2 linked regions of the Saccharomyces cerevisiae S288C genome follow. The gene in region 1 interacts genetically with each later gene. Each region holds a gene or a part of one and is shown on either strand. Other genes may lie near its edges.

Evidence for each region. A genetic interaction does not mean that the proteins touch.
Region 2: mutations in ICP55 (region 1) and MAS1 impair growth when combined (synthetic growth defect), as found in Saccharomyces cerevisiae (one study listed by BioGRID).

Annotation. Positions count from the first base shown.
Region 1 is NC_001137.3:316,307-320,313, forward strand, and holds ICP55 (aminopeptidase), read right to left. Parts: upstream 2,037-4,007; coding exon 501-2,036; downstream 1-500. Other genes in the region: MRX1 (Mrx1p), read right to left, coding at 1-294; YER078W-A (uncharacterized protein), read left to right, coding at 2,340-2,504; YER079W (uncharacterized protein), read left to right, coding at 2,614-3,246; AIM9 (Aim9p), read left to right, coding at 3,657-4,007. UniProt on the Saccharomyces cerevisiae protein: Aminopeptidase which cleaves preprotein intermediates that carry destabilizing N-ter amino acid residues after the mitochondrial processing peptidase (MPP) cleavage site and is thus critical for stabilization of the mitochondrial proteome.
Region 2 is NC_001144.5:490,879-495,229, forward strand, and holds MAS1 (mitochondrial processing peptidase), read right to left. Parts: upstream 2,377-4,351; coding exon 988-2,376; downstream 1-987. Other genes in the region: protein SHH4, read left to right, coding at 3,005-3,511; pseudouridine synthase PUS5, read right to left, coding at 3,616-4,351. UniProt on the Saccharomyces cerevisiae protein: Catalytic subunit of the essential mitochondrial processing protease (MPP), which cleaves the mitochondrial sequence off newly imported precursors proteins. Preferentially, cleaves after an arginine at position P2.

The sequences.
Region 1 (4,007 bases):
TCTTCTTTTCTTAGAATTTATCCTTTCCAATTGTTTGGATGTTTTATTTAATATGAAACCGTGACGTTCTAGCTCATGTAGTCTTTCTTTTACTTGAGTTTTCTGTAGATTTGTCAGTGAATGAAAAGATCTTCTCAGCAGATGCTCTGTGAGATTAATTGCAGTGTTTATTCGGGGTAGCATTCTAGTAAATATACAAGTGTCTACACCTATTCTTGAAGACTGCGATGACTTTGAGGATGATTGATTCAGATCCTTGGTTCTCAGCTGTCCTTTTGTAATTTTTAGACCCATCTTTATTTTGCCGTAACTAAAAATAAAAACTAAAGAGCAGTGCCCAAGAAGAAGAGGAAAAAAACAAAAAGAAAGCTGAAGAAAAGTATCTCAAGATATTTTCAGTAAATTTTTTTTTTTTTGAATTTTCCGTTTAATATTAAAAGACCTTAAATCGATAAGTTATGTATCTGTATATACAGGGTGTACTCAATTTAGCAATAACATTACAGTGGTGCCACTTGGTCCTCCTCGAATTTTGTAGATAAGCCATTTTGCATGACATTTTCTAAATCGTCAATTTCTTTCACTGCTTCAACAGTTAAATTAGTGTAAGTATCTTCACCAATGGCTATGTCATCTTCAATTCTTATTCCGACGTTTCTAAAGTAAGATGGAAATGATTCCTCGTTAGGAATATATAAACCCGGTTCAATAGTAATAACTTGTCCAACCTTTAATGGTTCGTACCTGGAAACTTTAGGCACATCGTGAACATCTAGACCTAAATTGTGTCCAATATAGTGCGGATACAATTTTTCAACATTCCAACCGGAGACTTTATCTATGCCCAAGTTTTTCAATTCCTGTTTCATGAGTGTGATACTCTTTTCATGGATGTCGTGGAGGGAATAGTTATTGCTAGCTTTACATAACTTAATGCAATCACGCTGAACATTTAATACAGCTTCGTAGAGATCTCTTTGTGCATCAGTGAATTTCCCACTATTGGGCCACGTTCTCGAAATATCAGCACAATAACCACCCAAGGAGCCAGCAGCGTCTACAAGAACCATTTCGTCGTCAAACATCACATCATCGTTTCTTGTGTAATGGATACACAAAGAATTCGAACCAGTAGCGACCACGGGGATATATGCGTCCTTATCGCAACCACCGGATATAAACTTGTAATGAAGAAAGGAATCTAAAGTTCTCTCATTCCTAAATCTTTTAGCAAAGGCTTGATTGAACGATCTTCCTGATATTTGGCCAGCTCTCCTCATAATTCTCAACTCTTGAGGGGACTTGATCTTACGGAACTCTGCAATTCTTTTACTGATGGGTTTGATGGTCTTATTCGCAATGGAATTCAATGATCGATTGCTATTCCCACTGCCATCTAACAGGCTCTTGATGTGTTTAAAATTGGACGAACTGGGATTAGAAGTTGATAGCATATCAAAATAGATGAAATCATTCCTGTTAATTATTTTGGGCAAATATTTAGACAAATCGTTAATGGAAGCAGATTCATCGGCATTGAAAATTTCTTGAACACCATAAACCCCAGACCTAAATCCTTCCCACTTTTCAGCAAACGCATCCTTTGGCGGAACCAGCATGTGGAAAATTGTATCACTTAAACTATCCGTTGGCTTTTCTAAAATCATGACCGAATTAGGTTCATTCCAACCACTAAGATAAAACAGGTCATTTTCCTGTTGGAACGGATAAAATACTGCTCCAGATGCAAATTGGATATCGTTACCAGCTAAAATCACACAACTTTTGGGAGGCAATGTTTCCGCCAACCTAATTCTTCTTTCATAGTATTCCAAGGCTGAAATGCCTGGTGTCAACTCGCCCGACTTTATAAGGAACGGCCTTGTCTCATGCAGTGGTTGGCCTGCCTCAATGGGGATTCTGACTCTATTAGTAAAAGTATTACTTTTATGCTGTTCCAATGGCGATACCAACTTCGAGAAGTATCTTTGGCAAGATTGCATAGAAAACCGTACTGGGTTTATCCTATGTAACATATCAACAGAAAATGACCACTTTTCCTATTAGCTTTTTCTATTATATTCTTTAGAATTGGTGGAGTTTCTTGCGCAAACGATCCACTTTTGCAGTGCAGTAAGTGATCCCTATACCAGGTGAGTTGATATATATTTACTGTATCTTGTACTATTTTATGAACAAGAAAGGCTATTACTCACAACAGTTTTGGTTTCAGTCAAAGTTTATGTGTGAGTGTGAGTGTGAATGTGTGCGTGTTGCATAATTGCATTTGGCCTTTCCGAGAAATAAGTCATTCTTTATTTTTCTCTCTTTACGGTTTAATGGTGCGGCTTTCGTATCTGCGTCTCATCCTTCCCCCTTGCCGCTTGTCAGAACTCTCTAGCTTGGCGATTCTCTATCAACCTGTTATTCCAATTCTTATATCTACCATTACCTTCCAGCATTTTTTCAAATGTGTTCACACGCCCTGTAACGTTTATATATAAATATTTTAATATTTAACTTAGCTTATGCATATATAGTTAAAAGGGATAATAACAATAAGAATAAAAAACACAAACTGCTGAGATAAGAAAAGGAAGCGAATAGTTAATAATGCCTGATTCATCACATTCAATAAGCTCAAAAGATGTTGCATCTGCCATCTCTCTCTATGATCAGTCCATTTACACTAATAACAGGTCTACTAACCTGGACTTAGATCAGAGATCAATGAGCCCTTCCAATATTGCCTCTGGTGAAGATAGGATAACGAGAACGAACTCAGGTTGCTCCATCACATCAGGTGCCTCCATGATTGCCACGAAGGATGGTATTCAGGGGATTAATGTCAAAAGAGATGGGATTCCGAAATATTCACTTAATTTATTGAATTCCATGGTTCGAAAACAATATGATCACAATAATGGAACAAAGTCTCCTACCCCGAAGACTAGCAATATGGTAGACCCTAAGAACAAAAAGAAGAACAAAAAAAAGAAGAATGACAAGGATGACAAATACAAGGTATCGCATGATCAAACCGAAAAGTTTTACAAACTCAACACCACTTCCAACTCCAATCTCACCTCTGATTCTACTACTTCGTTATCGGACCAGTTTTATTTCCAGAAAAGTAACGCTGATTCTGCTCCATTAGACAATGCAAATTACCCACTCTCCGACCATTCCCCCTCCCTAAACTCTATGGATAATACTACAAAGCATAGCAGCAATGTGCACACTTGAATCACGTGAACCACAGTAACCTAATTGCTCAAATTTTGAGAGTTAAAGGAAAGAATAAAATATATAAATGATACGTTTATACCCGCTAAAAAAAAAAAATATAAAACAAAAAAAGGATCTCATAAGACGATTTGTTGGGATATGTCCACATCTTTCGGCTATATACTACATTTAGCTGTTTCCCGTTTCTTTGTATTATTCCCTTCTTATGTATAACTTTTACTAGTAATAATTATAATAAATATTCGTTTTGAAACATGGTAATTTCAAATGTTCAATGTATTTTCGGGCCGATTGCTGACCAGCGACACTTTAAGCCGAACTGTATTTAGTAGACTCCCTTTTCTCATCAGCGAAGAAGAAGTAGCAAAAGCTGTTTAGCAAGCAAGACAGCAATACGAAGACCAAGCATGATTAGGTACACTGTTGCTGGCCATTCCAGAAGGTGTGTAGTAGGAGCTTCGAAAAGAGTGGGTGCAATTAAATGTATCACCGTCGCCGCCACCAAGAGATTTATCTCCAATAAGCCAAACGAAGTTTTTACCAAGCTAACGAATGACAATGATCCAAAGAGAGATGCCTTTTTCAAATATACGTGGGGCTCATGGCTTAAAAATGATAAGCAAGAAAAGGAAAAAAGATTCACGAAGTTTTCGATTGAAGGTTTAAATCGCATTCTCAATGACATCTACATTCAATCTAATGAAATGGCTAAGGCCCCCGACGGTAAGATCTTACCACCAGTGTTTAACAAGAACTTG
Region 2 (4,351 bases), on another chromosome or scaffold:
TTCTACACTGGAAGGTCATCATTATTTTTTGTTAAGTACTTTACGAATGAGAAGGTAGTTTATCAGCTTATATTTCAGGTCCGTTGACTTTTTCTGGCTACAGTTGTTTTCAACTGGTGCTGCTGCAGGATATAGGAAGTCGAAGATTTATTTTTTTGCACAGCTTAATGTTCCTGGCGAAAAAGCAGCGAAATCGAGAGGTATTTACTGCTCAGAGATATGAAGAGGTAGGTACATATTCATTGGCAGATATTCTACAATGCAATTATTATGACCAATCACACAGTATTGTGCTGACCTCCATTGAGCGATGACTAAAAAAACTTTTAGTAGCACGTTTATTATTGCTTTCCCTTGCTGCTATAAGGGAAAATTCAGTAAATAATACCGAAGATATAATGGTGTTTATCAGATCAGTGTGATGTGTTCAGCTAAATGGAAAGCTACAGATGCTATCTGATCGAGATATTGCAAGAAAAGGTCTCACAGTATTTTTTTCACGTGCTTTTTTTTCAAGGCAATGACCAATATGAAACGATCGATGAGCATAGTAAACAGTATTATCTGGATAATTCTGTATGCAATGGTAACGGATAACTTAAAATCTTTATGTTAAGTATATACAATTGCATCACTTTTTTTTTTTTGGCTTGTGGCTTATATTAACAAATTTATTGTGCATTTTTTGCAATCTGAAGGGCTGCTTTAATATTGAATACGGGAAGGGCCCTTTCACACCCCACTATAAGTGCAGTTTTAGGAAGAAAGTATTAATGTATCCTTCAAAAAAGAAAATACACGTGCTGTTAATATACCGACATCGTGTTTTGGGGAATGGGTACTAGAGCCGCCGATATCTATTCATATTTTTTATGTAGCAACATCTCATTTGAACAAGAATTTATTGACATAGAACTTTATACAAGTATGAAGAGAAATTAGAAATTAGCAGAGATGTGAAATGAACTTACTAATAAATCGGCGTGGTCATTGGTTCAGTTTTTCTTCGATATAGGATACATTAGGGACAGTGGATGTATTTCCTAGGGCAACCATTGAAACTGGTTTGTTTTGTAATCTGTAATTTGCCCACATAATAATATCATCCTTAGTGATTTTATCAACCTGCTCGAAAACTTCTTCTGGTGATAATCTTTTACCTGTGGTCACCACTTGTCTGCCTATATCTTCTACAATGGCTGTCGATCCATCCAACGATAGCAACAGAGCTGCCTTTAGCTGAGCTTTTGCCCTATTCACCTCTGCATCCGATATTTTGCCAGATTTTATTCTCTTCCACTCTTTCAGGATCTCATTAACAATTAACTGCACGTTATGCTCATTAGAATCAGTTACTATGTACATTCCCCACAGACCTGAATCAGCGTAAGAGGTGGAAAATGACATATAAGAATTAGCCAAAGAACCATTTTGACTTGCTGCAACAGCTAATGGAGAGGGGGAGTTTGTACCTGTGCCAATGGCTCTGTCCCAGTTACCAACAATCGCTTGTGTTGCCAGAGCTACAAAATAATCAGGTGCAGACCATGACACGCCTTCTAATGCGATAGCAATATGTGTTGTAGGTAACGTGTTTTCTTTGATAAACCTTTCACCTCTACAAAAAACTGGTAATGGGCCCCTTGGTGATCCCAACGGGACAGGCGATTCAGATTTGGGCACATGGCCAAAGTATTTTTGAGCATACTGTACCAATTTTTCATGATCAACAGCGCCCGCACCTGCCAATACCATTCTGTCGCCTTTATAGTTCTTGGTTATATAGTCTTTCAAATCAGTTCTTGTTATTGATTTTATGTTTTTTATAGGACCCAGAATGGTTCTTCCTAAAGGTTGGTCCTTATACGTAATCTCATGAAGATGGTCAAAAACAACTTCATCATACATCTTGTCCACCTCTTCACTTTCTCTGATGATGACATCCCTTTCTCTCTCAATAGCACTATTATCTAAAACTGACTTAGTCAAAATATCACTTAGAATATCAACAGCCTTTGGGATATCTTCTTGTAGGGACTTAGCATAATAAACTGTGTTTTCTCTTGATGTATATGCATTCAAATGAGATCCGATATTTTCAATTTCCAATTCAATTCCTTGTTGTGACCTATTCTGAGTACCCTTGAAAGCCAAGTGTTCTAGAAAATGCGCTGTACCATTGTTTTTTACGTTTTCTGCCCTAGAACCAGCATCGACAAATATTCCAACAGTAGCCGAAGATGTGTTGGGGATGTACTCTGTGGCAATTGTCAACCCATTAGGAAGTTTAGAGGTTCTGGTTCCTGGAATTTGTGAGGAAATTGTACTTAAAAGCCTCCGTGTATTACGGAACTTGGATGCTGTTCTTGAAAACATTGTATGATCACCTATCACTTTGCGCACTAGTTTGATGCCTGAGAGCAAGATATCATGATTTATCCATAGCGTTCAAATTCACTTCTTATTACTAAAGAGATGAGTCCAGCTCGATTACGAATATCACTAAATACGTGAAAATAATATTGGTCATCTAATCTGTGCACTGAACAGTAGTATCACCCATTGTTGGCTGAGAAATTAAGCTCAGCATTTTAGCTTTCCTCACTACGTGTTGAGGAATTTAATACGTAAATATAGTCTTAGTAAAGCCGTGCATTTTACTTCTTAACTCCTTTGGACGGGATCAAGTTTAAGGAGAATAAAACCCTGATTCGCACCTTCAACGCGGCTCTAACATGGTACTATCAGACTCTCACATCCAGATTGGAGTACCCTTATCCGAAGTAACGATTTTTTATTACGGTTTAAGATAATAAGGGACGCGTATGATAACTAAAAATCGTCAGTTGAAGGGCGCTGGCCATAGGTATCCCTTAATTTTGACGTCGAATTTCATAGAAGCAAACCTATATATTTTCAGTCCCCAGTGGACAGACCGTTTATCAGTTCTAATGAATCAGCAACGATTCTCAAAAAGGTTGCCCCAATTCTTAGGAAAGTAGGAATGTCATCGACTAAGTTTTTGAAACCACTCTGCAGAATAAGGGCTTTTCATACTTCAATTGCCAGATCCTTTACCATTCCTTTTCTGCCAAAGATTCCACAGAAACCTGGAGGTGTGAGTGGGACCGCAAATGATTCCTCTTATATGCCGCCCGAAAGCAGAGCTCAGGGTTCGTACCATTGGATTGTCGAGCGCGGACTGTCCTTAGCGGTTCTTCCGCTGATCGCAGTTCCCTTGGTCACTACAGGCCCTATTTCCACTTTTACCGACACATTTCTTTCCTTGGTCCTGCTAGGTCATTGTCATATCGGATTTCAGTCTTGCATTATAGACTATATTTCTGAAAGAGTCTATGGAAAGGTACATCATTACGCGATGTATTTATTGAGCTTGGGCTCCTTTTTATCGTTCGTCGGTATATATAAATTAGAGAGTCAAGAAGCTGGTCTTATTGCCTCTTTAAAATCATTATGGGATAACAAACCTGTGGAAAAAAAGAGGCAGTAATCATCAATTAATCAATATGGTTTGGTTAGTGGTGACTACCTTTTTTATTCTCGTTATATATGTGTATTAGAAATAATTTAATAACCGATTATTTATTGCTTATTTTACTGGTCCCAGTTTTCCAACAGGACTTCTTTTATGGGCAAAGTGAACTCACCCTCTTCATTGACGTATTTTCTTGACCAAAGTTGGCCAGTATTATTGTGTTCCATAGGTATCAAGTGCGTTTTAGTTTGCAGGCCAATTTTCGTTATTATGCACGCTGAATGCAACGCTATTTGGTCATTGAACAACTCTGGAAAATTGACAGTGCTGCCATGTCTCTTGTCGTTTAATATGGGCTGATTTAAAATTTGAGAGACGTGATTTCGAATCTGATGTTTTTTTCCTGTAACCAATTGTAAAACAATACAATTTTCGTCAACTTCTTTGAACTTAGTAATCTCCCTACCACCATGTGAAATCAAGAAATTATATTTAGGACCATATTTAATTTCATAGTTATTTGGTTTGTTGAAACGACCGGACGACTCGACAATAGCTACATACTTTCTTTGCAACTTATAACCGTTGTTGCCGCCCTTTTGTAAAAATCTAGAGAATTTTACACTTCCGTCTTTAGTCTTTGCAATCAGCATCCCCCCCGTAACACAATGGTCTAACCTATGTACAGTACGACATAATTCTACTTCTCTATGTGAATAATAAATAGCCTTGAATCTTTCTAGTAGTGGAGTAGGGTCAAGATTAGGATGTGTCCTGCCCCATGTTCTGCAGTCTGGTGGTTGAGAAGGTATGCCAGGTGGTTTATTAACTATGAAGTAATGCGTGTTTTCAAAG